Linked DNA regions of Rattus norvegicus. Each later gene encodes a partner of the first gene's protein in a complex. Links are inferred from orthologs where the notes say so. Each region holds a gene or a part of one and is shown on either strand. Other genes may lie near its edges.

The links.
Region 2: the proteins of Glb1 (region 1) and Ctsa are in contact, whole or in part, in a cryo-EM structure (PDB 7KDV), measured with the Mus musculus proteins. The link is inferred for Rattus norvegicus from reciprocal best matches to the Homo sapiens genes GLB1 and CTSA. Residues at the interface, in NP_033882.1 of Mus musculus: Tyr198, Asp199, Arg202, His206, Leu229, Thr233, Leu234, Gln235, Asp236, Leu237, Lys258, Phe259, Glu260; in NP_001033581.1 of Mus musculus: Glu29, Asp31, Ala37, Lys38, Gln39, Pro40, Ser41, Phe42, Arg43, Tyr107.

What each region holds. Positions count from the first base shown.
Region 1 is NC_086026.1:122,956,917-122,972,389, forward strand, and holds the start of Glb1 (beta-galactosidase precursor), read left to right. Parts: upstream 1-6,801; 5' UTR 6,802-6,877; coding exon 6,878-6,955; intron 6,956-10,189; exon of another isoform or gene 10,190-10,300; coding exon of another isoform or gene 10,301-11,647; exon of another isoform or gene 11,648-14,678; intron 14,679-15,473. Other genes in the region: Tmppe (transmembrane protein with metallophosphoesterase domain), read left to right, coding at 10,301-11,647.
Region 2 is NC_086021.1:173,980,746-173,996,443, reverse strand, and holds Ctsa (lysosomal protective protein precursor), read right to left. Parts: upstream 8,002-15,698; 5' UTR 7,848-8,001; coding exon 7,794-7,847; exon of another isoform or gene 7,727-7,793; intron 7,623-7,726; coding exon 7,444-7,622; intron 7,331-7,443; coding exon 7,219-7,330; intron 6,956-7,218; coding exon 6,905-6,955; intron 6,817-6,904; coding exon 6,730-6,816; intron 6,506-6,729; coding exon 6,350-6,505; intron 6,062-6,349; coding exon 5,970-6,061; intron 5,300-5,969; coding exon 5,215-5,299; intron 4,740-5,214; coding exon 4,648-4,739; intron 4,545-4,647; coding exon 4,469-4,544; intron 4,388-4,468; coding exon 4,245-4,387; intron 3,710-4,244; coding exon 3,634-3,709; intron 3,076-3,633; coding exon 2,986-3,075; intron 2,854-2,985; coding exon 2,749-2,853; intron 2,560-2,748; coding exon 2,476-2,559; 3' UTR 2,124-2,475; downstream 1-2,123. Other genes in the region: Pltp (phospholipid transfer protein precursor), read left to right, coding at 1,206-1,248, 1,347-1,410, 1,553-1,629, 1,871-2,002; Neurl2 (neuralized-like protein 2), read left to right, coding at 8,195-8,936, 9,340-9,548; Spata25 (spermatogenesis-associated protein 25), read left to right, coding at 12,671-12,725, 13,096-13,718; Zswim1 (zinc finger SWIM domain-containing protein 1), read right to left, coding at 14,993-15,698. UniProt on the Homo sapiens protein: Protective protein appears to be essential for both the activity of beta-galactosidase and neuraminidase, it associates with these enzymes and exerts a protective function necessary for their stability and activity.

The DNA.
Region 1 (15,473 bases):
ACACATGTGCAATAAAGAAAATGACTGTCCCAAGGTGACCTTTGGGACATCACAAACTACCTAAGGGGTAGTGTATGTGAGACTCATAACTTCATGTGACTATAGCAGAATCATGGAATGATGCATGCTGGGTTAACATAACATATAACCTAGAGACACCGATCATCTCTCAGTCAAAGAGAAGTCCCCTTCTTCCGGTTCAGGGACCACTCTCCCTTCACTTTTGTGACTAAGCCTGAGGGCTTAAGCAAGCAAGCGGCTCTACACAGATGCCCCCAAATGGCTGGCAGACTAAATTGCAGCCAGTTCACAGATAGGTGTCATGTGGATCAATACTGTAAGGAAGCCAGGAAGCAGTCACATGTCCAGCCTGGTCTAATAGTAAGAGCCTATCTAAACAGGAAACACGAGAGTTGGAGAAGGGCACTGGATCTGGATTGATTCCCAGAGCACTGGATCTGAATCGATTCCCAGCACCCACATGGCGGCTTACGCTATTTCCAACTCCAGTTCCAGTGGACCCAGTGCCCTCTGCTGGCCCCCAAGGGCACTGCACACCACGGTACACAGACATACATGCACCTAAACACATAAGATAAGAATAAAATTAGGGGAAAAAAAGATGAAAGGGGGTGTGTGTTTTATAAAAATAGAGAAGGAATGTGTTTGGTGGAGGCGCTGTAAGGTGTGAGGGAAGGGTGTGCCTCTGCGGGCCCATGCTAAGGCATCCCTTCCACCTGAGGGACCAGCCACACATCCGTAGGTTATAGAGTAGAGTTTATTCAGGGAGTGGGGAGGGGAGGTGAGAGGGTAGTAGAGACAGAGAAAGGCAGGGAGAGAGAGCAAAGGAGTAGAGCACGGTCTTTAGCACGTGAAGGGTGGGGGAGGGGAACGGGAAAATAGGGGAAGTAGGGGAACCAGGAAATAAGGGAAGTAGGAGAGCAAGAACACAAGAGAGCTAAGAGGAGCCAAGCCAACCCCTTTTATAGTGAGTCAGGCGACCTGACTGTTGCCAGGTAACTGAGGGGCGGAGCCTAGACAAAATGCTAACAGAAAAATGAATTCAGTGGGCTTTGCCTAGACTTATAGTGGAACCTAATCTTTACTGGATAAGGCTTTATCTTTACTAGATAAGAAAGGCTTGGGCTGGAGAGATGGTTCATCAGTTAAGATCACCGACTGCTCTTCCAGAGATCCTGAGTTCAATTCCCAGCAGCCACATGGTGGCTCACGACCATCTGTAATGAGATCTGATGCCCTCTTCTGGTGTGTGTGAAGACAGCTGCATTGTACTTGCATGTATTGGATAGATGAGTCTTCGGCAGCTCTGAAAAACTTGGACCAGGAAGCAAATCCAGTTCGTAAAGCTTAAAAGCAATCAGAGTGGGGCCAGAGACCTGCTAGGGTCACTCCCAAACAAATGCGGCCAGATTCGTATGAAGCCGATTCCAGGGTCAACAGTGGCTCCACACTGAATTTCAGATTTATTGGCCCTCCTTCTAATGATATACAGAATGCTGGAACTTCAGTCAGTATTGGAGCAAGGTGTACCTTAACTCACAGTACCCACAAAGCACCAGCAGTGGAGGGATGTGGGGGGGAGGACGATACAGATGGTGAAAGCCATGCTTGTCCTAGGGCTGGTCCCTTAGCACCATCTCTCCCTGTACGGTGGATGCAATCCTTCATTACAAGAAACAGGGTCAGGGTGAGTCTCCTGCTGACCATACCCTGCATCCCACCATTACCGAATTTTACCCAATCCTGTGCAGCTCAGGAAATGAGAGCCTGTGAGGAGAGAGCATTCATATCTAGACCAAAGCCCTTGAAAATGTCAGTGTGGTGAACAGAGAGGCCGGCCAGCCACGGCAATGCGGAGCATGGTGAATGGAGAGGGAGAGGCCAGGCAGGCAGCCCATGATGAATGGCTACAGACAGCAGGGAGCTACATAAGGCGGTGGGTGCCCCACCAGAGCCACCTTACCTAGCACTGCCCTTTTGACAGAATCAATGCAGTGGGATCTCTTCATATTGTCTTGGACCTTGCTAGTATATTCTTTTAGAAATCCTTTCATCTACTGAATCCCAAGAACACTCCATACTGGCTTGAACAAAGACAGGGCCTCAGGAGTCTACCCTTAGTTTTAAAAAACAGTCTAGAAAGACATCTAAAAGAAAATAGTTAAAGTTAACAATCAGCCAGCCCAGACGGCACACTCTTTAATCTCAGCACTCGGGAGGCAGGCGGATCTCTGTGAGTTCCAGGCCAACCTGGTGTACATAGTGAGTTTCAGGCCAGCCAGGACTACACAGTGAGACCCTATCTCAAACAAACAAACAAACAAACAAACAGAAGAACAGACAAAGGAGAGTTAAAAATCAGCCAGGCGGTGGCCAGAGAGATGGGTTAGTGGATATATATATATATATATATATATATATATATATAATTTTATATATAAACATATATATAATTTTATATATAAACATATATATAATTTTATATATAAACATATATATATATATATATATATATAAAATTAAAAACAGAGCCAGTAAGATGGTTCATTGGGTAAAGTTCTTGCCAACATACTGACAACCTGGGTTTGATCTCTGTGACCTACACAGTAGAAGAAGAGGACACATTACTCTAAGTTGTCGTCTGACCTTTGAATGTGTGCTTTGGCATGTATGGAACCACACACACACACACACACACACACACACTCAACACACACACAGAGACACGTGCGTGTGCAAATGCAACCATTTTTTCTGTGAGGAAAGGGGGTTGGAGCGACAGCTCAGCAGTTGAAAGTTCTGGCTGCTCTCCCGGAAGACCAAGGTTCTAGTCCCAGGAACTCCATGGAGGTTCTGTAACTCCAGTTCCAGGGGATCTGACACCTTCTCCTGGCCTCTGCAGGCACCAGGCACACACAGACATGCATGCAGGCAAAACACCCATACACATAAAGTAAAATAATTTTTTTTTTTTTTGGTTCTTTTTTTCGGAGCTGGGGACCGAACCCAGGGCCTTGCGTAAAATAATTTTTTTAAAGTAAGAAAGACACTCCCAGAAGCCACAGGGATATAAGGTGAGAACGCCAGTTACGAGGGAGGAGTACTTGGCTGGCTAAGAAGGTCCCTGAGAACCTATAGTAAATGCTATTACCGTTGTTGATGGCTGCACACCAGAACTGGAATGACAAATTGTTATTGCCAGAACACGATACCCTCTGGTTACAGGGCACAGAGACATCAGGGCTGGAGGCTTTCTTCCTGATGGCGGGTGAAGTGGCTATTCCTGGTTGTCAACTTGAATGTATCTGGAATGAACTATAGTCCAGAATTGAAGGGCTCACCTGTGATCCAGATCTTGAGGCTGGAAAACAGTTTCTGACCTGGATCTTAGCATGGAGATCTTGAGGCACAGTGGCCATGAAAACCGTAGGCCACGCCTAAGATAGTACACGCCTTTAATCCCCAGGAGACTAAGGCAAGGAGATCTCTGAGTTCAAGGTCAGTCTGAGATAAAGTAAGTCCCAGATCCAGACACATCTTTAATCTGGGCCACACCTTCTGCTGGAGGCCTGCACAAGGACTTTGGGAGAAGGAAGATTCACTGTTCTCCACTTGCATTTACTCGCCAGCACGTCTGTCGGAGCCTACTTCTACAGAAGACCAGCTGAAACAGCCAGCCTCGTGGGACTTCCCATCCACAGCTGACCACTGTTGGGGAGTTGGACTACAGACTAAGTCATCACATTAAATTCCCTCAAAATAGACATCCCATAAATTCTGTGACTCTGGAGAACCCTGACTAATACAGCTGGGATAAATAATACCACAGCACTGCACAAGCTGCTAAGAATTGTTGCTGTCAGCCCTGTTCCCCTCTGGATCCACATATCCCATTAGCAAATGTGGTGGCTATTCCTGGTTGTCAACTTGACTGTATCTGGAATGAACTATGATCCAGAATTGGAAGGCTCACCCGCAATCCTGATCTTGAGGCTGGGAGATACAAATTTCTGATACCTGGATCTTGGTATGGAGATCTTGAGGCAAAGTGGCTATAAATCCCCCAGGAGCTAAAGGCAAGGAGATCTCTAAGTTCAAGATTAGCCTGGGACAAAGCAAGCCCCAGATCCTGGCATGGTGGTATATACCTTTAATCTGGAACACACCTTCTGCTGGAGACTTACGTAAGGACATTGGAAGAAGTCAGTCAGAGTCTCTCTCTTTTGCCTGCCTGCCTTGTGGGACTGGGCCACCGCTAGATCCCTGGACTACAGACTGTAAGTAATTCCCTTACTATATAGAGACTACCCATAAGATCTGTGACTCTAGAGAACCCTGACTAAGACACCAACATGTGGGCAATAGTCATTCTAGGTTGACATGACATTCTAGGTAGGCATGACAGTTATGGGTACAACCAACTACTTTCTGATTCGACGTAAGCGATGTAAGGCCCACTCCAGAAGTGGAAATTCATGTTTGGTACTGTACATCAGGGCAAAGTCCCGTGGCTGGCTAGTTTTCAGCTGAGGTCCAGGTTAACTCTTTTCTGGTGTGTGGGTGGAGGTTACTGTGGCGACGAATGACCGTGGGAATAGGGAGCTGACGTTTGGGCATAGTGTCCCAGTGCGCAGAACGGAGTCATACTTACATCCCCCCATCAAACATGGCCGATGAGGTGGTAGAAAGACGAAAGACGTTGGGGGAAGGAGTGGAACATTCTGGTGTCACTATTTCCTTTTCGAACGTTTGAAAGACATGGTCACCATCAGGAAGCGGAAGTCGTTGTTGAGGGGACCACACAGTACCTGAGTCTGGCAGCCATAGAACAAAACAAAGCAGCCAGGTAGGTGTAATGGTGACGGTCACATGTCAATGAAAGGGTCACCAGATTGAGAGTGGGCTTGTAGAATGCTGACACTGTAGGAAGTAGAAGGTTGACCTGGGGGGTCAGGACTCAGCGACACGGTCCTTCTCTATGTGTGGGTGGCACTTGCTCCAGGGCAGCTGCTTTTCAGTCACCCAGTAATTAACCCCAGGACACTCAAACCTTGCCAAGCTGGACTTGGATAGAACCTTTTCTTTTCATGGGACAACAGGCTTTCACAGCAACGGCTTTTTTTTTTTTTTTTGGTTCTTTTTTTTCGGAGCTGGGGATCGAACCCAGGGCCTTGCGCTTCCTAGGCAAGCGCTCTACCACTGAGCTAAATCCCCAACCCCAACACAGCAACGGCTTTAATCCTCTGCACCATCTCCCTGGCCCCGAGAAAAACTCATTCTCTCACATTATATCTTGAAGACTGTATTCAACTACTGAAATAGGGTTTGACACCATTGCAGTAGGAGAGAGAGATCTGTCTGGGCCCTAAGCAGAGTATACAATTATGAGCATGTGGACAGTGGTGGGGGGGAGCTCGGGGGCGGGAGAAGTAATGTGTGGAAAATTACTAAGAGACACGATGCCTACAGATGTCTACCTAGAGCGACATGTAGCCCAGGCTACCCTCTTTTTTGTGGCAATCCTCCTGCTTCAGCCTCTGGAGCCTTAATGATTACAAGTGTAAGTTGCCACACGGTGGCCTAGACCACCAAGGACAGAACTAAACGTCATGGACAAAGCAGAGACCCAGGTGAGAAAAAGACAGGAGATCATTTAGAATCTGGTGATAAAATCTGGTGAGGGAGTTAGTCTGGCCGTAACATAATTTAACGACACACACTTTCTATTCATCAAAACAGACTGAGAGTGGACTAGGATGGTCAGAGATGCATAATAAAGGCCCTGTTTTACAGAACTAAGACAGCCACCCAGCCTGTTCCACTCGAGATCCTGCTTTTTACTTAGGATATGTATTTGTATATTATGTCGTGTATATATGTTCCTGTGTGTGTGCACGCGTGTGTGTGTGTGTGTGTGTGTGTTCTGTCCTGTCCTGTCCTGTCCGGTTAGTCAAGGATAAACAGTGAGAAGCAGTCTCAGAAAAACAGAAAAGAAAGGGGTATGGCCCAATGGTAGAGTATTCGCCTAGATTAATGAGGACCTGAGACTCACACGGAGCACGGCAAAGATAAGTGAAATAAATAAATACAACGAGACAATGTCTAAAATAAATAAATATTGTTATTGGTTGCAATTCACTAACGCTGGAAAAAAACTTACCTATATTTAAACCAACCTCGACTTAAGCAGAGGTGGTGGCCCATGACTATAATTCAGCGTCCAGAAGGCAGTAGGCAGGAAGAACAAGAAGTTGACTGACAGAAGTGCCATTACTCTCATTAAAATTCAGGGCAGTTTAAAATAACTTGGCCATAGCTCAGTCACAGTTGGAATTTCTCTATAACCTAACACAGTGCTTCTCTAACTTTGCTTGCACTGAAACTTGGAGCTGGGTTCAGGGCTGGGATGCTGAGTCTGCATTTCCAGGTTTAAGTCGCCTGGCCGGTGGACCTCACCTTGTGTTAGACCACGTGCTAGGGAGAGTTTTAGGGGCTAGGACTACTCCCCGGAGCACTGAGGACTGGCTGTTTTCCTTTTCCCTGCTCAGTTCGTTTTTGGCAGCCAGGACAGCCTGAAGGCCCCTGTGGCTGGCCAGCCCCTGAGCTTCACCACAGTTCATTCTGAAGATCCGCCCTTCCGGGGGGACTCGCGGATGCTTAGACCACAGCGGCTCCGGAGTCACGTGGCCTGCAGAGGCTGGACCTTCGCTCCCAGCCTAGAGCCTCGGGGTGGGGCGGAGCTGGGGGCGGGTCCTCCTGGGCGGGTCCTGGCAAAGGGTCCTCAGTAACCCCCGGAGGTGGAGCGGCTGGCCAGAGCGCCCACTGCAGAGTGGAGCGGTCCCATCGCGGCGCCGTCATGTTCCGGGTCCCCCTGTGTATGCTGCTCCCGCTCCTGGCGCTCCTGCAGTTGCTGGGCGCTGCGCACAGTTTCTATGTAAGTCTCCGGTGCCACCGCGCGGGGACGCTCCGCCGCTGGGAAGCGGGCAGAGGCCGAGGAAAGCCGCGGCTCTGCAAAGTGGGGATCGGGGTTACCCTCCATCTCCCCTCGGAGCACGCAGGCTGCCGAGGCGCAGGCAGTGGCCGGGCCTCCCGTAGGGGCGGGCCGGACGGGCGGGGCGCGCGTCCTTCCTGGTTGCTGGCGCGCGTGGGTTCCGCTGCGGCTGTCCCCTGCGGACCGACCTGCTTCCCGGTTTGCGCATCGCGGTCGGGGGCTAGCTGAGGTGCGCCTGAGTCTTTCCAGCTTCGGTTTCTGGGGAGAGGGGCTCCAGGCTGGTGGCTGCGAGAGGGCTCCGCGGGCAGTGACGTGGGACGCGATCCTTGCAGAGTTCGGGCTTCACAGAGCGCTCCGGAAGGAGAAAAATGGGGTCAGGAGAGGCTCCTGCAGTGGGGTCACCGGAACATTTGCTTTCCGAGACTTCTCCCTTTTCAAGCGTACTGTTCACGTTTCTCGCTAAGCCACCTGCTGGCAGCTTTTAGTTTGAGGTGTGCATCGCCTTGTTGGAAGCCTTTTCCTCTTAGGGTTTGGCAGTGCGGGTCGAGGGTGGAAAGAGGCAAACTGCAGCGGGCGAGGTCTGGGTGGCAGGGCAGTGGCTGAGGCGCGTGGGACACGCACCTGGGGAGGCCCGCACGGAACCTGCGAATAGGACAGGGCGTGGTGGAACGCGGCTCCTACTCTTTTGCACTTTGAGCGAGTCAGCTTGAGGCCCCCGATGGACTGAGTGGGGGGGGGGGCGGTAAGTTCAAGTACCTGCTAGTAGACTTTGAGCCTGGTAGACGTGTAAAAACTACACTCTTGGAAATGATACACGTTTATCTGAAACCAGAGTTGAAACTTTTTGAAGTTTCTGGAAAAACAGTTGCTGAAAATGCTTTCATTTAAGGAAAAGGAAAATCGAGTGCAGCCGGCTTCATCAGAGCTTGACGTCCTGAGTACCAGTGGGCAGAGGTTCCAACAGGTAGGGTAGAGAGGGCAGAAAGGAACCCATAAATCTTCAGTGTCAGGATGAGCAGAAGTGATAAGGTTTTATGGAGGTCACCGGTTTGATGTTAGTCATCAGATAAGAAGTAGGAGGTGCCCTGGGAGAGCGCCACCCAGAGAGGCTGCTGCATGATCCTCGGGAAATCTTAGATGGATCTCTCTCCTGAGCATTTAGATTAGAGCCAACGAAAAATTCCAGTCGACTAGCTTTCTGTTATCCTTGTTTGTTTGCAACATTAACTCTCAAACTTCAGAGCTAGATTAAAAATTAAAATGTGTCTGTTTTTTTTTTTTTCTTCTGCTTTTGTTTTTTGTTTTTTTTTTTTTTTTTCAGAGCTGGGGACCGAACCCAGGGCCTTGAGCTTGCTAGGCAAGCGCTCTACCACTGAGCTAAATCCCCAACCCCCTGCTTTTGCTTTCTCAAGACAGGCTTTCTCTTTGAAGCTCTGGTCGAACTGGGACTCACTCCGTAGAGCAGCCTGGCCTGGAAGTCAGAGATCCTCCTGCCTTAAGAAGTAGTAAACCAATTGGACATTAACAAGCAGTACACTTATATGAAGAAGGGTCTCTCAGTTTTTGGCTAGAACTGTAGTTACTTTAAGAGAAGGGCCGATTGATTTTTTTTTTTAAGTTTTATTTACTTTTATGCATATGAGTACACTGACATTGTCTTCAGACACACCGGAAGAGGGCATCAGATCTTATTACAGATGGTTGTGAGCCACCATGTGGTTGCTGGGACTTGAACTCAGGACCTTGGGAAGAGCAGTCAGTGCTCTTAACCGCTGAGCCATCTCTCCAGCCTGAGAAGACCTATTCTTTGCTTTTTAATGACAGGCTCTCACGAAGTCTGGGCTGGCCTCAAACTTGCTATTATGTAGTCGGACATAGCCTTGGACTTCTGACGAGCCTGCCTTCACCTCTCGCATGCTGGGAGTACCGGCATGCACCACCGTGCCCTGTTTCTGTGGTGATGAGGGTGGAACCCGGGCTTTGTTCATGCTAGGCGCCCTACAAACTGAGCTATGTCCCCAGGCGTAGAAATCAGAGTCTTACATTGCTGTTTTCGGTCTGCAGTCAACTCAGGTTTTGGTGTCTTTGAAAAACTGTATTATGCACTCACTGGAAGTGTGAAAATGTTTCACATGTTATGTTTCCATGTAAGGACATTCGCAGTGATGCTTTGCCATTGTCACGACTCCCGTGTGAGACTTCCCCCAGGTGACACGCTAACAGCGGATCATTTGAAATAGTAATTTTCCTATTAAAAAACAGAATGGGCCGGAGAGATGGTTCAGAGGTTAAGAGCGCTGTCTGCTCCTCCAGAGGTCCTGGGTTCAATTCCCAGCAACCACATGGTGGCTCGCAGCCATCTATAATGAGATCTGGTGCCCTCTTCTGGCCTGCAGGATACACGCAGGCAGAGTGTTGTAGGCACACGAATAAATCTTTAAAAAGAAATAAAGAAAACAGCCTGGGGAGGTGGGGCAGCTGGCCCACGCTTTTAATCCCAGCACTCAGAGAAGCAGAGGCAGGGGGATCTCTGTGAGTTGGAGGCCAGTCTGGTCTATAGAGCAAGTTCTAGGACAGCCAGGGCTACACAGAGAAACTCTGCATATATATATATATATATATATATATATATATATATATATATATATATATATATAGAGAGAGAGAGAGAGAGAGAGAGAGAGAGAGAGAGAGAGAGAGAATGTTTCATGTCCATTCATTGTGGGGACCCTTTAACCGGCTGAAACACTAAGACAACAGTGGAAACTGAAGCAGGAGATGTGGTTTGGTTGGTAGAACGCCTGCCTAGCATGCATGGAACCTAGGGGCCCATCCTCACATAGAGCTGCATGGTAAAGCCTGGAATCCCAGCACCTGTTTGGTGAAGGCAGGAGGGTTGGAAGTTCAGGGTATCCTTGGTCACACTGTGAATCCAAGGCCAGCTTGGACTACCCGAGACCTGTCACAAAAGGAAAAGAAAACCGCCCTCGTGTTTCACGTCATGATTGCGGTGTGTTTCAATAAGGAAGCCTGGTGGCTCACTGGTGTTTGAGTGGCTTGGATTTGAGGCAGGTTGGAGCCATGTCTGTGGCCTGTGGTCTTTGGGCTTTGGTCGAGTGGGGACAAGAATGCTCTGATGGTCTATCCCATAAAGCTGATGCCAGTTCCTGGTTGCAGGCGGAGCTGACCTGGAAGTCTCTCACTGGCCACAGTCCTTTCTCAGGAAGTTACTTGCCTCCCAGAGTCTTCCAGCACTGAGCTTTGGGGGACTCCTCAGGCGCTGGGAGAATGGCGCTCTTCAGGCAGCTGTCCCTGGGCTCCAAGGCTGCCCTGGCTGCAGCCACAGTCTTCGTGTCCATGATCCTCTCCCGCTCCTTCCTGGCGGAGGCCCTTGAGCTCCAGGCCTGGCGCTGGCTGTTCCGTCTGCAGCTGGCCCTGTTCGTGAACTCGATTCTGCTCATTGGTTCCTCGTACATCTGGCGGAGTACAGTGAGCAACCTCAGCCATCCCCCTGCTGTGGAGTCTACCTGTTTCCAGCTTTGGAAGCTGGTTGTCATGACATTTCTGGCCCTGGCACATTCCAGCTTCTTTACCATGCTCTTCTTGGTGGCTGAGGAACCCTACCTGTTTTCCTTAGCAGCCTACTCCTGCCTGGGCGCCTACATCATCATGGTATTCTTCCTCTGCATCTTGAATGCCATGGAGCAGGCCTACCAGTTCTTAGCCTGGCGCAGTGGTAGGGTGGTGGGCAGCCCTAACAAGACAAGGCACCTGGTGCTCAGGCCTGCGCTGGCGGTGGCCGTGACGGCTGTGCTCAGTACCATTGGCCTCCTGAATGCTGCCCAACCCCCGTTGGTGAAAACCGTGGAGGTGCCCATCCACCAGCTGCCCCCTTCGATGAATAACCTCAAGATCGCCCTCCTTTCGGACATTCACTTGGGGCCCACGGTGGGCAGGACCAAGATGGAGATGTTTGTGAGGATGGTGAACAGGCTAGAGCCAGATATCACGGTGATCGTGGGCGACCTCTCCGATTCAGAAGCCTCTATCCTGCGGACGGCGGTCGCTCCTTTGGGTCAGCTCCGTTCCCGTCTCGGCAACTACTTCGTCACGGGTAATCACGAGTACTATACGTCGGACGTCAGCAACTGGTTCACACTGCTGGAATCCTTGCACGTCCGGCCCCTACATAATGAGAATGTCAAGATTTCTTCTGCCTCGGGGGACCCGGACAGTGGAGGGGGAGAGAGAGAATGGGTCTGTTTGGCAGGTGTGGATGACATAGAAGCAGACATCCTTCACTACTCTGGGCACGGCATGGACCTTGACAAGGCTCTGGAAGGCTGCAGCCCAGAACATGCCACCATCTTACTGGCTCATCAGCCTCTGGCTGCCAAGAGAGCCCTCCAGGCTCGGCCAGATATAAACTTGATCCTTTCCGGGCACACTCATGCAGGGCAGATCTTCCCCTGGAATGTTGCGGCCTATCTCCTGAACCCTTTCTTTGCTGGACTTTACCAAGTAGGCAAGGCTACGTTCGTGTACGTTAGCCCGGGTACAGCCTACTATGGGATACCCATGAGGTTGGGGAGCAGGGCAGAAATCACAGAACTCATACTGTGGCGGGCTTCGTAAGCCTGCCCGATGGTCCTGCCTTGCCTTGCCCCGCCCTGGCCTATGACCTTTGTCCATCTCCTATACCATCCTAACCTTGCCAGCCCCCTTTGGGCACAGCCTGCTGGGGAACATCGATTTGCAGTGAGGCTGCCTGGAAAATTCAGGCTGGCTCAACTCTTTAGATAATGAACCACTTTTGACCGTACACCTGGGGGTCCACTCCGCCCCATATGCTGGAGTGGGCATTTGTTTTCCAGCTGCCGTGGAGATGGGGGTCCTTTTGCAGAGTGTGGGGTGGCGGGGAAGGGCACTTCTTGACCAAACTCAGGGAGGGGCAGGAACACTTGTCTCCTGTGGGTTTAGCTATGGTTAGGGTGGGCTCTGGAATCATTTGATAGTTGGTTTGGGCATGGGCCGTGTTGAGAGGCTAGTATCCCTTTCCTCCATGTCAATGAAGGTCACCTTTATTGAGGACATCGGCAAACCCCATTGAATCATGGGGCACTTCTTGTCTGCACCTTGAGGGGTCCTGATTACTGTGCAGAGTAGTTGGACCAGAATGGCTAGAAAAACGAGTCATGGGGACTGTGGTAGGGGACGACTGCGGTCCCTTAGGGACTTAGCAGTTCTGAGTCCCTGGTTCTTTGTAGTTTTTGGGTGAGATAATTAAGGACAGGCTGCTTCTGTGTTTGGGGGTGAGGAAGGACACTGGATGTGATGAGGTATCTTTAAAACACCACAGTGACAAATACTTTCCTAGGAGGTGCTCAACGACAGGTTCCAACTCAGTGTGTGAAGGGAGTTCATTCTGCAGCCCGATGGTTTGATGTTTTTAGAGGTTACAGCGGATGCGGGATTCTGTGTGCAGATAAACAAGACCCTAGAGTCTCACGTTCCCCTCAAAGGGCCTTGCTTGTTTGAGGCACTTTGTTTGTTCGAACGAGGCAGGTTCAGTTCACTCACAGCTAGATGAGGGGGTCCCTCTAAGAGTCTCTCACTGCAGGAGGCCATCTTTAATAATCATTGAGGTCAGCACCTCCTACCCATCAGGCCAGGTTTGGGTCTGAGATTTTGGTGAGAAGCTGAGGTTTCTCGTCTACCCATAGGAAAGTTGAAGCTGCCCCAGGTCTGACCCAGCTCTGCCCTTGCAGGTTGCCCTAGGCCCTGGAAAGGCAGGGTCTGTCTTACCTGCTTGGGGGAATTCTAACCCTACCTTGGCCTCTGGTCACAGAAGCTTAGGGTCATTCGCAGGGCTTCTAGACCCACAAGAAACAAAGCGCTCTCTTGTGCAGTGTCTGTCGTTGGTCTAGTCTTTCTTTGCCAGGGGCAAGAGAGACATTGCCCTTTGCAGAGCCGAGAGCTAGCTGGGCTTAGGAAGAGGCTCTACTGAGATGTGTTTAAGAACATCTGGGAGGCTGAGAGTCCTCTGTCTGGAATGGGGCTTCCTGCTGCTTGTGAGAGAGGGTTGAGACCTGACAGTGGCAAGTCCTCCTAGATTCTTAGCTTCCGTCATCCCAGAAATGGCCGTACTTCTTGTATCTACCTCAAGGCTGCTGTGCTGAGAGAACGCTGAGCCCGTACCCACGGTGGGCACACACTGTAATGTTTGTTAATCAGTGCACCGAGACCTGCCAGGGAGCATTGCCAAGCAAAAGTGCCTAGAGAGCCAACCTGGGGGACTGTCGATGGCTGGCCTGCTGCCCTCCAGCACAGCCCAGATGTACATGTGATACTAAGAGCCACCTTCCTGGCAAGTGTCTCGAGTTTCCTATGCACACTCTGCTTCCGTAAATGGAGGATTCTTCACCTTTTTGTCTTTCTGGTGTGATGCTGTCTAGTGGGTCCAGGAGGTTACTGACTCATTCTTGTCTCCCATCCCAGTATTGGCAGGGCGCCATCTGGTCCCCGAATGAATGAATGAATGAATGAATGAATGAATGAAGCAAACATACCTGTAATTCCCAGCACTCAGTAGATAGAGACAGGAAAATTGGGAGTTCAAAGCTCGTAGTGAGTTTGCAACCATCCTGGGTTACATGAGATCCTGTCTTGGGGGGTGAGGGGTGGGGGGGGAGGAGAGAAAGAAATAGCTTTGCCTAGATACTGTGATGGTCTCATTTCCCACCCACCCCAGAGAGGATTTCAACGCACTGGGCTAATCTGTAGTTGGGATTCTAGGAGAAGCCACAACTCAGCACCTTGTCCCCCGAGACCTCCTCTCGCACCTGCCACCCCTCCAACCTCACGAAGGCCTTTAATCCATGTCCTCCATTTCTGCTGTCAACCCTCTTGGGGTCACGACTGCCCTTTCTGTTCTCCTCAGCTTTGGATTTCAGCAGACTGAGTCAATGCCTTCTCAGTCCAATCCTCTAGGCTACTGGTAGCCTTTGACTCCTGCCATTCCTATTCTTCCTCGTTTTCTGGTTCTTTCTCTTCGGGGCATTAGACCCATCCTGGTCTCGTTTTTGATACGGTCGTCTTGTGACCTGTGTGCACATCTGCTGTTCTGGCTTTCGGGTGTTTTGTTTTTTGGTTTTTGTTTTTGTTTTGTTTTGTTTTGAAGCAAGGTCTTGCTTTGTACACCAGATGGCCTTCAACTTGCAGTTATCCTCCTGCCTCTGCCTCCCAAGAGCTGGATGCCAGCATGCGTCACCACAGCTGGCTCCTTTCGTCCTCTCTGAACTCTGCTTTGCCAAATGCTTTTCTATTAGCAGACCGGGGTTGGGTTGCCACTTGGTTGAGAGAGAACTTGCCTTGCAAGTGTGAGGCTCTGGGTTCGATCTGGGGACGTCAGAGAAAGGAAAAAACAGTGGTGAGGGACAGTCGGGTGGCTCAGCAGGCCGCCTCACAAGCCTCCCTTCAGCTCCATCTCTGAAACCCATGGTGGAAGGAGAGAACTCCACAGAGCTGTTCTCCGACCTCCCCCCATGGATTCCGTGCCACACCTCTGCACAGCGCATAATGCTTATATAAATAAAATTGTCTAACGAGATGGTACTGCCTGTTCTTCTGAAGGTCTTCTATCCTAATAAAGGAAAGAGCGATGCCGTGTTTGTGTCAGGTCCTCTCTTCTCGATCTCTCTTACACTGCTTTACCTTCAGCCTTCAGGGCGTGCGTGTTAGCACGCAGTGTTCACCACGTTTCCTCCTTGACAGCTCTTTCAGTCTCAGGGCCCCACCCTAGGGACTGCGGGTGTGCACTGCCAGGCCCACCCTCTTCAGGTCACTTTTATTTCTGTGGTTCAGTTGCACTGCACCCCCTTTCCCTTCTGAACTGAGCTGTTGTGTAAAGGTCCATCCGTTGTGTTTTTATAGCCAAATGTCTATTTTTTTTTTTTTTTTTGGTTCTTTTTTTCGGAGCTGGGGACCGAACCCAGGGCCTTGCGCTTCCTAGGTAAGCGCTCTACCACTGAGCTAAATCCCCAGCCCCGCCAAATGTCTATTTTGCTTACTCTTGCGCTGTTTTCTTCTGCTCCCTGTTCCAGTAGTCTCTCTCTTCTCTTCTCTTTTTTGTGTTTGGAGACAGGGTCTCTGTATGTAGCCCTGGCTAGCCTGGAGCTCACTACATAGACCAGGCTGGCCTAAAAGTCCAGATCTGTCTGCCTCCCCGTGCTCAGTTCTTTATTTTCTTGAGGAAATGTCTCTTTACAGTTTGATCTTCATATGAGTCAAAGCCTGAAAAGTTCCGTGTGTCTCTCGGATCACTTCTCTTTAATTCTGTGACATTCCTCTTACTCATGTAAACATGGACACACCCAAAAAAGTTAAGGGAGCTGGAGAGATGGCTCAGCCGTTAAGAGCACTGACTGCTCTTACAGAGGTCCTGAGCTCAATTCCCAGCAAC
Region 2 (15,698 bases), on another chromosome or scaffold:
TGTGTGTGTGTGTGTGTTATGTATAGTCTGTGTGGTGTGTATGTATGGTGTGTGTGTGGGGTGTGTATGTATGTTGTGTGTGTGTGTGGTGTGTATGTATGGTGTGTGGTGTGTATGTATGGTCTGTGGTGTGTTTGTATGTGGTGTGTGTGTGGAATGTGTATGTATGGTGTGTGTGTGGTGTGTATGTATGGTGTATGGTGTGTATGTATGGTCTGTGTGGTGTGTTTGTATGTGGTATGTATGTATGTGGTATGTATGTATGGTGTGTGTGGAATGTGTATGTATGGTGTGTGTGGAATGTGTATGTATGGTGTGTGGTGTGTATGTATGGTGTGTGTGGTGTGTTTGTATGTGGTGAGTATGTATGTGGTATGTATGTATGGTGTGTGTGTATGTATGGTCTGTGTGGTGTGTTTGTATGTGGTGTGTATGTATGGTGTGTGTATGTGTGGTGTGTTATGTGTGTGTGCCATGCATGGATAGAGCCTGAAGAGGTCAGAAATGGGCTGCAGATGTCCTGAAGCTAGAGTTAGAAGCCATGCGAGCTACCAGACGTGGGAACTGGATTCCAATTGTCTGGAGGAGCAGCCAACCCTCTTGACCTGTGGAGCCATTTCTTCAATACTGTGTCCCTCTTCAAACCCCCTCTGAGACAAAAATCTCACTCTGTAGACCGGGCTGAGCTCAAACTCAAAGAAATTAACTTGTGTATGTGTGCGTCTAGGTGTATATGCATTTATGTGTCAGGGTACTCACATGTCACACAGAGCACATGATGGTCAAAAGTCAACATGGTTCTCTCCTCTACCATGTGTGCCCTAGGGATCAAACTTAGGTAGTCAGGCCAGTTACCCTCCAAACTGAGCCATTTTACCAGTGCTATTTTGATTTTTTTTTTTTAATAAGCTTGGTATCTGACAGGGAGTAAAGATTATTGAATTTTGTTGGATAAAACAAACTGTACTTGTTGACCTAGCCACAGAGGCATGGCACACAGGCATTCCTAACTAATGAAAATCAGCAGGCTTAAAGAAAGGGGCTCCAGAGACAAGAGGGTCACTCAGGGATGCACACCTGGAAAATGGCAGCTACCTGGAAGGATGATTGGGTGGGACTGGGAAAGCTGTCACTCTGGGCCAACTTTTACGTAGGGCTCAAGGAAAGGGTGTCCCAAGGTTTCATGTTGCATTTCTGTCCCACAGGTTTCAAATTTACTCCAATCAGTCTGCGCTGGAGTCTCTGGCAGTGAGTTGGGGATGGCATTGGGTGGGTCCAGGTTTTGCAAGAGGGCCGCTCACACAAACCTGTATGTGCATGCGCTGTCTGTGTCCCTTTTCCCTCAGCTGATCCCACTGCAGGCCCCACTGAAGACGCTGCTGCAAATCGGAGTGATGCCTTTGTTGAATGGTAGGGGCTGAGGGTGGGAGGAAGGAGTGGGGACAGGGAATAACAGGGGTGGAAGGGTGTGTGGGGGGTTATGGGGTAGTGGACACGATGACGCCGACGGACTGATAGACGCCCAGGCTGAGCTTGCCTCTTCCATCTACAGAGCGTATCTGGCGTGGGGTGCAGATCCCCCTCCCTGAGGGTATCAACTTCGTGCATGAGGTGGTGACCAACCATGCAGTAAGTACATTGTGGAAAGGAGGATGTAGACCAGGGGCTTCCTGTCCCTACAACACCCCAGTGCTATCTGCTTCCTCTAAACCCCCTAACACTAGCTACTCCCTCCTTTTTTTTTAAGTAGTAAAGGACTTACACTGTCAGGGAGCTGGGGCCCCTGAGGAGATTTGCTCCAGAGTCCTGCGTTTGTTTGGACGATGTCTCCAAACTGAACTGATCAGTGAGCCTCCCTGTCCCCTCCCAGGGCTTCGTCACTGTTGGGGCTGACCTCCACTTTGCCAAAGGACTTCGAGAAGTGATTGACAAGAACCGTTCTGCCGGCGGCGCTGACACTGTGGACTCCAGTGTCCCTCCACCCTCTGCTGCAGCTGCCTGAGCCCTTCGCCCGCCCCTCCTGGGCAGCTGGCATTCAGGAACTGAACTGAGGCTTCTCAGCACCTCCTGCCCACCCCTTGCCATCAGCCTAGTGGTCCCAGTGCCACAGAGAAGAGCCCAGCTGGAAGCTATACCCGATTTAATTCCATAATCAGTCAACCATCAATTACAATCCATCCAACCCTCTCCTTGGGCTTCTCTAGAGCTCTGTTGGGGTCCTGGGATGGGGCATTTTTTATGCAGACCAGGGAAAGCCATCCTATCAAAGCCAGAACAAAGTGTTCATTTGGTCCCAGACTGTCTGTGAAGCCCCAAGGCCCAGGCTGGGATGCACAGGGCTGTAGGAAGCCTGGGCATTTTTAAAGCAGGACTTGCCCCACGGGAGCACTTTGCATAAAGGAGGAGTCCTCGACATCGAGAGAGGCTTTGAGGGTCTGATCAGGTGCTGAGGACTTCCATGGGTCCTCGAAGCTATCAGTAAGGCTCCTTGTTCAGGAATCGAGAGAACATGGTAAAAGCAGCTCGAGGCTTGTCCGTGGGGACCATGTGTCCGGCACCCTGGAGGGCAAAGCTTGATGAGATTTGGATCCCCAACATGATTACCCCTCACTTCCGGGCACTTCCTTCACCCCTTCCTCTCTTCACCCCACACGCTCGCCCGACGAATCACAGGTGACCCAGAATGAGTGAGGACTGGGAGGTCATGCCACTCCCCCCTCTGGCCCCAGCTGTCCCTCAGAGTCCTACCTTGATGGTGAGGAAGGTAATGTGTGAGCATTCCTTCACAAAGCCAGCTACCTGCTCTCCACTCTCCCCGTAGTCCACTAGCCAGGGCCGGCGCTGCACCTCCATCTATCCCACCGGGAAAGACGATAGCCAGTGGCTCCCACCATCTTTGCTCAAAGCTGCTTTTGAGACTGGAGACTCCTCTCCAGGTTCGCCCTCTCCCAGCACACCAGCCCAGCTACCCCAACAGCACTTTACCTTCTGGTTGAGGGAATCCACAAACCACTCATCCCCCATGAAGTTGCAGGCCATGTCCACATCGCCATTGTAAAGCAGGATCTGGTATTTCTGGAGTAGGACAATGGGAAAACAGGAGTGTGGGCTAGGCCCAGGCTCTCTAGCCCTTCTCTGGTTCAAGCCCCAGGGATTCAGAAGCCCAACTAAGAACAGAAACCTGAAATTCTCATGCTGTATGCTACACGTCCAATATGCACCTACCAGATGCTTTAATAAATAGGGGGGAAGTTACTATGCCCCATATAAGACAGTCTTATTGTGGAGCCCAGACTGGCTTAGACCTAAGGTCTCTCCATCTCCCCAGGGCTGAGCTTACTCTGAAGACTCATTGTGGCTCGCTCATTAGCCTCCTTTTACAGAGGGAAAACCATAGCTAGGAACTCTTCCCAGAGCCAGACGTAGGTAGGCATACATCGAGATAAGATTGTTATGAGTTCAAAGCCAGCCTGGGCTACAGAGCAAGACAAGTCTCAGAATAACAATAACATAAAACAACCAGGGCGTGGCTGCAAGCGCTACCGAGATGCCCCACTCGATGCATTGTTACTCTAGAGCCTACAGCTACACCGGCTGGAGGTGGGTGGGTCCTGCTGTGCCGTGGACGTTTACCTGTGAGCTGAGCAACTTCAGGTACTGGGAGTTCATGCTTTCGTAGAGACGGCGGTACTGTAAGTTCACCATGAGGCTGTCGGAAGCATGCGCGTAGGATGCAGGGAAAAAGGACAAAACGGGGAACTGAGCAGGACAGTCGACAGGACAGTCAGACATTCCCGATTCCCAGCTTCGGTATATCAGTTCTCTAGGACTTGCTTATCTGAACGGGAGCTGGCGATGTGTGGGCATAGTTTTCGGCTGTTACAATGATTGAGATACAACTGGTGTTTGGTGTGTAGGCACCGTCGGGTGTGACTGTAATGACGGGAACGGAGAAAGGGCACCAGCCCATCACGAAACATTTAACTGGGCTCCGATGAGCTAGGGTGACCTTTTTATTTAAAGGGGCTCAAGGATGAACTGGGCAGCTCCAGGTGGCAACAGAGCTGTAGTCAGGACAGTGTCTACTCATTAAATGTCAGAGATAACTAGTTATCAACTAATTTTCACCCCAATTTTCATCTAAATGTCCACACCACCCCCTCTTGGAGAAGCCCTAGTAACAGGACCCCTGCGAACCCAGCTGATGGCCACCTCCTACACCACGAGCAGTCACAGAAGCTCACTTGCACATGTCCCAGCGGGGCAGCGACTCCGGGATGTGGAGAGCCTTCCGAACATATGGGTTGTTGAGGTAGGTGGAGGGGGCTGTGGTGTTGGTGCATGGAGGATCCAAGCGTACCTTGTCCCCAGACCGAAGCAGTAGAGCCTGAGGGCATGGACATGGGGTGACCGTCCTTAATTATTTAACCCACCTACTCCCCCAGGGAGAGCCCACACCCTTGCATACCTCAGGAAATCTCCTCTTGAGTGGCAAGCGAGTGAAGATATTGCCAAAATCCTGGACTACAAGTGTGTCCTCAGACCTGTCGGAGATAGACAGACAGACAGACGAAGAAAAATTATAGGATGGGTGCTGGGCCTCTAGAGGCAGTAGATATGGTCCAAGGCACACCCAGCAGCACTTACCTATCACGGCCGGGTACCCCACCAGCACACGGGGCGTAGAGATTGTATATGTTGAGGCCAGATTTGCCCACAATTCGAGACACTTCCTGGAGCTGTGAAGACGGTAGTCCTGTTATTCAGATCCATATCCCTTCAGGACCTTCCCTACTCACCCTCAGGATTAAGTGATCTCCTACCTACCTCATCTCCCTCCCGACACCGCCCTTTACCTACTTTTTTCACAGGTAGAAGGCTCATTGGAAGGAATCTTCCAGATCTGGGCCCAGTCCTAACTCTACTCTCTGCCAAGTGGCTTAAGCATCCTTGGCTTCAGTTTCCTCCCTGGACTTCCCAGAGGAGACCACAGTATTGGATAGATTTGGGACAGAAAGCCGAGGGGGTGAGTCGGCAGAGTGCTTGTCTTGCATGCATGAGGCTCCCCATGCATGCTCCCATGTTCAATCCCCAGAACGGCCACAAAGGGAAGCCACGGAGCTAGAGAGCTAGGTTCCCAAAGAGAGGTTTGTGTGATCCATTTCTCGGGACTGGGGTGGAAGGGCTGGCACAAAGACCAGGGCAGAGGCTCACATTGTTTACACAATCTGGATCTTTGTTGTCATAGAAGTTACACTTGTTCTGAGAACAGCAGTGGGTCTGGAGTGAAGTCCAAAGCCTGCGGATCAGAGAGAGCTGAGGCTGAGCAGAGATGCTAGGAGATACAATAACCTCCCTCCCCGCTCCCATCAGACCCTGACTCTGGTGGCGGAGAGGAAAGACGTGTAGGCTACCAAACCTAATTTCCAAGGATTTGTCCCCTAGTCCATAAAAGTAGCCCCAAGCTCACCCCAAAACTGGCGCCTTTTTAAAAAGAAGAAAAAAAATGTTTTTGAGAGGTTTTTCTATGTAGCCTGGGCTCAATCTTAAACTTACTATGTAGCACAGGCTGGCCTAAAAGTCATGATTCTTCTGCCTGGTTCCAAGTGTGGTCACCATGTCTAGCTTCTTTAGTTATTTCTTATAAGTACACTGTTGCTGTCTTCAGACACACCAGAAGAGGACATCAGATCCCATTACAGATGGTTGTGAGCCACCATGTGGTTGCTGGGATTTGAACTCAGGACCTCTGGAAGAGCAGTCAGTGCTCATAACCACTGAGCCATCTCTCCAGCCCCTTTTAGTTTCTTTAAATCCTAGTCTTTATTCTTGGCCATCAAACCCTTTGGCCAACTCCAGCCCCTACCTGCTTATAAACCAAAGCAGGAATAGCATGGGCTGAAGGACAGGTCTGAGATGGCATGACCTGCCCCACCTTAGACGTTGCCCAACTGTCCCTCTCCCATTACCTGTTCCCCAGAAGACCATGGTAGTAGGCAAAGTAGACCAGGGAGTTGTCATTCTGCTCATAGGAGGAGAGTCCATTGCCCACAGCCAGCCCCTGTGAAACACCCAGAGGGCTCAGCTCATCCCAAGGGCGAGAGCAAGGGGACCCTCCCTTGACCTACACTCAGACCTGCAATCTAGAAGCTGAAATCCAGAGTGGCTTGTGGGTGTGGGTGAGGTCATTCAGTCTAGAGAACAGAAGTGGCAGCCTGACAGGTTAGCTTCCTGTAGTAGGAGGCATTCGAGCTGTTGGAGTAGCCAGTGGCCAGTTAGTAGGCTGTGAACGAGCGGCTAAGCTGACCTTTCTAATCCTAGGTCACACCATCATGGTGCCTCCCTTCACCTGAAGGTTCATGCTGGGATCCTGCATGACCAGTACAGCCAAGGTGGGGATGTAGATGCCAGCATAGCTCTCTCCGGTCAGGAAAAGTTTGTTGTCCTTGTACTCCGGAAAGAGGTGGTAGAAGTCTTTAAGGGCTTGATAATTGTTCTCAGCCACCTGAGGATGACATGGAGGAGTCAGGTGACATTTAAGCTAGAAAGCTGCGCAGAGATAAGGAGTCCAACTCATTTTATTTTGTGCAAGAGGAAGTAAATTGGTTATGAGCTTACCACAGAGCACGTGACAGGGCCAAAAGTGGACTCTGAGGTCATGCTCTCCCCCAATCAAGCCATCTTGGGGAGAAATGGGGAATGGGGCAGGTGGTCAGGCAACAGACTCACCTCTGTGTCATTGGTCACATACATCTTGTCATCCGAGTAGGAGAAGCCCACCCCAGCTGGGGACTCGATATACAGCATGTTGGCAATCTAGGGGGAGGAGGGAATGAGTGGAAGAGGGTTCCACACCCCTTCGAGTACCCAGACACCCTTACAAGACCCACAGCTCCAAGCGTACCAGGTTCCAAGAATAGGGGTTGTACTCCAGGGTGACACCATCTGGCTGGATCTGGGGAGGAAAGAAATAGCCCCTGTGAGTCCCAGTGAATAGCTGGGTGGAGAGAAAGGGCCACCGTGCTTTATATATTGTCACACTCCAACAGAGGTACAGAAAGTTAGGCCAAGGGTCAGATAAAACAAAACAGAATTGTTAAGAAGGAAAGCAAACTTAGGACACAGTTTCCTTCTCCCCTCCCCTTTCCTGCCTTTTCCTTGAGGAGCTGCCTCTTCCCAGTTCTCCCTCACAGGGGAGAGGGGCAGTGGTCAACTCACCAGGAAGGGACCGTGCTCTGTAAGTAACCCATCTAGGGAGCTGCAGCCAGGACCCCCATTGAGCCAAAGCACCACGGGGCTGTTCTTAGGGTCGTTCTGCGATTCCACAAACCTAGGAAAGGCACAGGGCGGGATTGGTACAAGTAAGAGGCCCAGTCCTGCCAGGGGTCGTTAGAATTCGTCTGCCCAGTTATCATGCCCTCCTGGGGAGCTAGGGCGGATCACCAGTAGTGGAAGTGCTTGGAATCCGATGCTTTGAGATAGCCGGAGTACTGCCGGAAAGAGGGCTGCTTGGCCAGGCCCGGGAGGCAATCGATTTCATCCTGGTCCGGAGCTGCTTCGTCCCGGGACGCCCAGGATAGGAGCAGCAGCAGGAGCAGTGGAGACAGTGCTGCTCGGGGCATCTGCGGAAGGAAGCATCGGTGGAGGATGTTTACCAGTTCCCCAGATCCTTTGCGCTTCGGTGCTGCGGTTCCTGGGGAGATGGCGCACATCTCCGGGGGAAGGCCCCACCCCGGTCCAACTCCCGGCCACAGAGACACGATCGCTGCCCACCAGTCCGGGCATCTCCGTACCTCTGCTTCCTTGTGTCCTTGCTCTCCTGGAGCCGCCTTTGGACTGGAAGTCATGTGTAGTTCTGGTCACGTGAGCTTCTGCAGCACGTGACAGCTTGCTCAGCGTTCACTTTTTTTATCTGAGGGTCGGGGGCGGTCAATTACCAGGTCAAAGTGCACAGCCCAAAGTGCACAGTCAGGGTGCCAGAAATCAGATGATTTTGGTGTTGACAGCAAAGTTCCTCAGGCTCGTGGGGACCCCTTACTGGTGATATGCCGAGAAACGGCGCTAGGACCCCCGGGCAGAGCCGGGGAAAGTTAGACAAGGGGGAAATGCCTTACATGGTCCCCCCGCAGTCACCATCTGAGCCCGCCGCCCAAAATAGCCCTTGGCATGAGCTGGCCTGCTTAATGGCGTGGAGATGGCTGCTCCCTCCAAACCTGTAGGATTGGGTGGACCACGGAGCCCTGCGTGCCCGGAGCCCCCTCCCACCCGCTTCCACCAAGTGCACGGAGCCAACATCCGGATGGACCCGTCGGGGACGCGAGCCACACGCGTGGAGAGTTTCGCCCACGGTGTGTGCTTCAGTCGCGAGCCCCTGGCCCCCGGTCAGGTATTTCTAGTGGAGATAGAGGAAAAAGAGCTGGGCTGGTGCGGGCATCTACGTCTTGGCCTGACCGCTCTGGACCCGGCCAGTCTGGCTTCTGTACCCGAGTTTTCACTGCCTGACTTGGTCAGCCTTGGCCACAGCTGGGTCTTCGCTATCACGCGCCACCACAACCGTGTGCCCCGGGAAGGTCAAACAGAAGCAGAGGCAGCGGTCCCCAGCGGTCCCCAAACCCTACTCGTCGAACCCTATTTGCGCATCCAGCAGTTCCGAATTCCCCGGGACCGTCTGGTGGGCCGCAGCCGCCCAGGGCTTTATAGTCACCTCTTAGATCAGCTCTATGAACAAAACGTGCTGCCTCCCACTGCGCGCCGTAGCCGCCTGGGTGTTCTCTTCTGCCCCCGTGAGGATGGGACCGCTGACATGCACATCATCATCAACGGAGAGGACATGGGTCCCAGCGCCCGGGGACTGCCAGCTGCTCAGCCCCTCTACGCTGTGGTAGATGTGTTTGCCTCCACCAAGAGTGTGCGCCTGGTCCAACTGGAGTATGGCTGTAGGTATCCCACCCCGGGAGGGACCTTCTTCTGGTTCAGGGTGGAGACAGGCACCGGCTAGGACCCCCACAGCCAGCTAGCAGGGCCTTGGACTGTCCAGCCGTAGTTTTGGCCTCACCTCGGGCTTGTGAGTTTGCACACATCACACCTTGGCTGTGGGCCGGCCTTGGTGTCCTCACCTCAGCTGGTTGACTGAGACACCCTGCAGGTTCTTTTGGTTTGAATGATGTTTCAATAATAGGGTAAGGGCGTCTGTGTTTTTTAAATTTTGTCCTAGCAACCAAGTCAGGGTCTCATCGGTACTAGGCAGGCACTGCACACCCCAGCTTGATAGGGATTCCAAAACCAATTTTTTAAATTTTTTTAAAACATTTATTTATTTATTATGTATACATCATACAGCTTTCTGCCTGCATGTATGCACCTGCAGGCCAGAAGAGGGCACCAGACCTGATTGTGAGCCACCATGTGGTTGCTGGGAATTGAACTCAGGACCTCTGGAAGAGCAGTCAGTGCTCTTAACCTCTGAGCCATCTCTCCAGCCCCAGCCAAAACCAATTTTTGATCCGAGACTTCTTGAGAACTTGACGCATTTACTTTTGGTCTTCTGAGAACAATTCACTCGGGAGACAAGGCTCCTCTGGAATTCAGTAAGTAGCCCAGGCCAGCTTCCTACTTTTGACAATCCTTTCTGCCTCAGCCTGAAGAGGGTTGGGATTAGCCTTGAGTCACCACATTCCGCTATGAGTTGTGTGTTTTTATTAGGAAAATATTCTTCTGAGATTTAGGCCTATGGGTTTGGAGCCATCGCAAACTCCAGATTGAGAACTTTTTTTTTTTTTTCTTTTTGAGACAGGGTTTCTCTGAGTAGCCTTGGCTCTCCTGAAACTCAGATGGACAACTTTTAAAATCAGAGGTCTGGCTCACTGTAGCTCAATGGACCTTTCACCTATATCTCTGGTCATGTGTCATGAATCCGTTGAGCTGGAATCTGCTGTTACCGTGCTGTGGTTGCATAGACGGAACAGACAAAGCTGCTGGGTTAAGGGAGGAGGGTTAGGCTGTGTTATAATGGCAGAGGGTCTGATCAAAGTCCTCGGAAAGAGGTGCTATGTCAGCTATACAAGCAGCCCCGCCAGGCAGGCCGAGCCTGAGAGCAGAAGGTAATTCCCAAGTTGACGGCAAATGAAAACCCAGACGTAGATCTCAGTTCCAGTGTTACCTCCCCCAGACCCCTTTGCCTTTGACAGTCATCTCTCCACAGTGCCGTCTCTGCAGACACTGTGCCGTCTTGTGATCCAGAGGAGTGTGGTACACAGGCTGGCCATTGATGGGCTGCGCCTGCCCACAGGACTGAAGGATTTCTGCAAGTATGAATGAAGGCCTGTCTGTGGCCACCAGAGCAAAGCGGCCGTCGTGCGTCCTGCCGCCAGAGCAGTGGCTGGTCTGAAGCTGGTCACACGGCGGCACACAATCAGGGCCAGAAATAAAGAGAGCTTATTTATGTTGGAGTTCTGAGCATTGGAGGGTCTCCTTGCCTCTGCAGCCTTATGAGAGGCGCATGTAGAGATGCCCTGTCAGAGAAAGTATTTTAGAACCTGTCTAGATCAGGGCCTCCTAGTGCGCACACTCCTTTGAATTATCTGGGACACTTGATGAGTGCCAATGTGCCTGCCTCTCTCTCCCTCCCCCCTCTCCCCTCTTCCTCCTCTCCCACTCCCCCTCCCGCTCTCCCTCTCTGTCCTTACCTCCTCCCCTCAATATTCTCCTTTGGTGTGCGGTTTGTCAGGGAATTGAGCCCAGTCATCATGGATTTTTGTTTTGTTCTAGACAAGGTCTTGCCAACCGTATTCTGAGATTATAGGCGTGAGCCTCCATGGCTGACTTGACACTGTTTTTTTTTTTTTTTTTTGTAAAAGCCCCTTCAGAGATTCTAATGCATGGTCAGAGTGGAGAAGCATGTCCTAGATCAGGGGTTGCAGCTTGGAAAAAGATGGTAATTTTTCATTGTTTTGTTTTTGGTTTGAGACACAGGATGATCCTGAACTGTGGTAATTTGATCTCAACAGGAGATTACAGGCATAGTCTACTATTTCTGGCTTCCTTCTGCCTTTTACAGTACTAGGGACTGAGTTTAGTGCCCTGTGTTTGCAAGGCGAGCGTTGTACCACCAAACCACAGGCCCTGGCCTATCCCCAACCCCCTCCCCTTTAAGGACAGGGTCTCAATATGTAGCCCTGGCTGGCATGTCACTCACAAAGATCTGCCTGTCCCTACCTCCTGAATCCTGGGATTAAGGTGTTCGCCACCTTGTCCAGCTGCCAGCCCTCTTGTTGTTTATCCTTTAGGACAAAGTTTAAGTTGCTTGCACTGGCCTTAAACCTGGGGCCCTTCTGCCTCGGCTTCCCAGGCAGCTGGATTCTGCCTGTTGCATCAGGCCTGACTATAATGTCTTTAAGAAGTTAGAAATATTGACACATAAGTCTGCCCCTGGGATTCTATTAGCTGATCTAAGATGGAGAGGGGCCCTAATGTTATTCGAAATGTCCTAGAGCCTGTGCTGACCACCAGTGACCTGGACCAAACATTTTTTCAGAGGCCAAAAGATGAGAATATATTTGTCTAAAAACAAATAGCAAATGAATATTTTATTTTATTTACTTGAAGATAGGGAATTCAGCCTGTAGATCAGGCTGGCCTCAGATTCAAGAGATCCGCCTGCCTCTGCCTCCCAAGCACTGCCATTAAAGGTGTGAGAGCCACCATGCCTGGCTCCAGCAGGTGATTTAAAAAACTAACAAAAGCAAACAAACAAAACCCAGGGTCACCTGTACCCCGGTTTGCCCTCAGACTTGCTTCATATAAAATGGTGGGTGAGCTTGCATTTCTGATCCTCCTGCCTCTACCACATGAGTGCTGGGTTGCAGGCCTGTGTCCCACGCTTGGTTTCTGTGGTAGCAAGTGATTCACTACCTTGACACAAGACACAAAAGCCCTGGACTCATTTCTCTGTATGGGTGGTTGCTGGCCGCCTCGGGCATCTCACCTCACCATCACAACTCCTGGGGAGTCAGGGGGCAATGTCGCTCCCATTTTGCAGATGAAGATACTGAGGAACAAAACTGTCTAGGTGGAGCAAGGTGTGGTGACACCACACCTATATTCCCAACACCTAGAAAGCTGAGACAGGAAGATCAGGGGTTTGAGGCCAGCCACACAAAAGCAAACACAGGCTGGGCATGGTGGTTCCTGACTTGTAAGCCCAGCAAGTAGGAGACAGGTCTGGAACAGGAAGTAGACCACAGGGCTTTCCGGGTCAGCCGGGGCTAAGTAGTTTGATCCTGTCTCAACAAACAAAACCAAGCAATCAAACAAACCCTGGCACAACAAAAAACAAAACACGCACAGTGAGAATGTCGTTCTGAAGTAGTTCGCTCCTCAGACCGGCAAAGTCCCGGGTTCTAGCCCCAGCACCAGAGAAATGCAAGACAAAAAACTACCTGTCCAGGTGGATGCTGACCAAGATACTGACAAAAGCTGGAACTTCCTGATCCAGGGCCAGTGCCCATTTAATCCCTTCCCATTGTGACATGTACGTTCCATAATGAACAGGTTAGTATTGTGAGGTAGGGTCCGGGTGTAAAGGCGACTATGAGGTGACACTGTAGAAAACTGGAGACGAGGGCAGGAGGAATAGGACTATTCCCTCACAAACAGGGACTCTGGGGCAGCCATGTCCTACTTCACCTCTCCACAAACTCATCTGGGTCTTCTGCCTTCTGGCCAAGGTGAGAGGGGTTCCTGAAACTGGGGGTTGGGGAGACAACAGAGCTTCCCACGTGAAGTTGCTTCCTGGCTTTGGGGGAAGTGGAGCTTCTCCTGAAAGCTTTTAGGCTGACCCTGGAATCAATCCTCTGGAAATTATATCCAAAAGGCCTTGCCAATTGCTAATTATGCACCCGCTCACTTAAACACTTCCCCAGCACCTGCAGTATCAGGACTGGCTGGAGTTATGGAGATGAGTAATTGCTTACATTCCCAGCCTCAGACTGTCCTCTTGGGCTTGTTCCGATTGCCTCTGGTCCCAGGCCCTGCCCCTCAGGGCCTCTTCCTCCAAGAGACCAAGAATAACATTCCATTTCATTCTTGTCTCTGCAGGTGGGGCTGCTTCTTCGGGTTCGTCCCTTGGCCTCTATAGTCCTGCAGAGCCAGTGCTGGTGGCACCTGGTGGATTAGGCCCACTGAGCCAGAAAGCTGAGCAGGTGGCACCTGCTGCCCAGGCCTGGGGTCCCACCTTGGCAGTGCCTGAAGCCAGGGGCTGCCCTGGGGGTGTTAGCTGGGAGACACCTCGGAGAAAGGAACACAACCGATACTGCCCCAAATTGCCCCCTGTGAGGCAGCTGGAGAGCTTGGGCTGGGCAGACCCCTGCTCCAGAAGCAGAGCTCCTCCCTATCTGAGTGGCCCTAGCAGGCCCCGGCCCCTGCTGCTGTGTGGGCTGTCACCTGGGGTTCTGCCAATATCCTCCGAGGCAGTGGGGAAGGAGGCCAGCTCCCAACCTGACATCTGCATCCTTACCCTGGCCATGATGATCGCTGGTATACCTACTGTGCCTGTGCCAGGCCTGCGGGAAGAGGACCTGATCCGGGCAGCTCAAGCCTTCATGATGGCCCATCCAGAGCCAGAGGGGGCTGTGGAGGGGATGCAGTGGGAGCAGGCGCATGCCCACATGGCTTCTGGACAGATGCCTTTAGTGAGATCCAGGAGGGGCTCCTGCTTGTAGTCAGATGAAATAGCATGAGACACAGGGCGGCTTCTCCGTATGGTTTTTGGGCAGATGAGGTTGGGAATGGCTCTCTCTGGCTGCGATGGGAAGAGGGTGTGGGTAACTGAGCCACCCTGACAGACTGCACGGCTGGGTTAGGACCACTCTGCAGGAAGTTCTTCGTGCCACCACAGATCTGAGCAGATAAGGTACCTACCTAGGAAGCCCTGTTGGGAGAGTAGAGAAAATTTTCTGTCTAAAGTCCTAGACAATGTGGATTTTCCTCTTGCCTTGTGTCCCAGTTTGCTGAGGGGAGATGGCACTGTAGACGAATGATGGACACTTGGCTGAGTCAACAGACTTGTTCTTCACTCCAGCCAACCCTGTGGGAAAGCCCACTCTACAGAGAAGCTGAAGCCTAGGGCGCTTCCTGGAGCCTCAGTGCCAGTAAAGGCAGAACCAGGCCTGCAAACCCTGGCAGGTAAACCAGAAACAGTCAACATCTCAGGTGGCACCACTGTGCCAAGGCTCCTCCTTTCACACCACAAAAGGACATCCATTAAACAGACAACAGGACAAGCACGGGGAGACAACATTCACTTTATTGATCCCATCCCAGGGTGGGACAGAACTGGGAACTCTGGCAGCCCCACCAAAGTAGCCTCTTCCTTCATGGAGAGTTCCAGGGTCAGAGCCAAGTGAGTCCCATCATGACTGAGCAGGAGTTACCAACACAGAACCTTCAGCCTTACCACCCATTATTTCCCTTAAGGAACCAGCTGTTTCCAGAAACTTCTTAAGTTACAAATCAATCTTACTTATGAAAAAGTTGTCAAAACTGAATCCAGAATGCACAACAGTGACTGTATTTGGCCGTCAAAGCCTGTGATATTTACTATTGAACCCTTAACAGGAAAGATTTTCTGACTTCTGTGGAGCATGACACAATCTAGACAAGAGGCTAGAGCAGAGCAGACTTCCGGAAGGAAGCAGAGTGTGTGTAGAGGGGCGGAAGTGAATGATCCTATGTACATGAACATGTCAGGGCACACATACAATCATAAGTTAGGCCTGTTGACACAGGCTTATAATCCCACTTACTGAGCAGGCTCGTTAGGAGGCTCACAAGTTCAAAGCCCGCCTGTCTACAGTGGGAGTCCAAGAGTAGCCTGGGCAGCCTAGTGAGAGGCTATCTCGAAATAAGAACTAAAGAGGCAGTAGTAGAAGAGTCCCTGCCTAACACGTGTACTACCCTGGGTTCAGTCCCCAGAACTGGCCATGCCCATGTGTGATTAGAGCTGTACCTGCTCATAAGGGCCGATCCAGCTGTCGGCAAGTTCCCGAAGGGTGCTATAGCGGCGCTCAAACTCCTCCTTGCTGCAGTGCTCTAAGAGCCGACCGACCTCCTCAGTGAGGAGGGTCACAGCCAGGTGCTTATCCAGGCTGGCACTCCACTTGCTGCCTAGGATACTGTCTAGACTGGTGGCACAGCCTGAGGTCCACTGAGTCTGCAGCATGTCAGGCTGGAGCACCTGCTGGCGGGCACTGAGCATGGCGAGGATGTGGCGGCAGGGCAGGTGGAAGGCTTGGTTAAAGTAGCAGCTGCAGCTGGCAGGGGACTGGGGCTGGACGTTGTGCGTGTCCTCCAGAATCTGTATGTTCATTTTTTCTGAGCCAGAGCCAATGAGATGCATGGACTTCTGGACTACAGCGAGCTCACCTAGGCAGAGTTGGGCAGCTGGCCCTGTGCAGATGGCATTGAGGGAGTGCTGGATACGGGCTTCTACCAACTGCTCTGTGTTGGGGTTTTCAGGGCTGGCATCTGAAGGAGGCTGACTGTCCTGGGGACTCTCCACCAGGCTGAGGTTTGCTTTGTCTGAAGGGTTCTGTTGCATGTATCGGAACACAGAGGCCATGCCTTGTTTCTCAAATGGGGTGGCGCCAAAAAACTGACTGAGGACGTGGGCTGTTACCTCCAGAGTCTGGAAGTATCGGTTG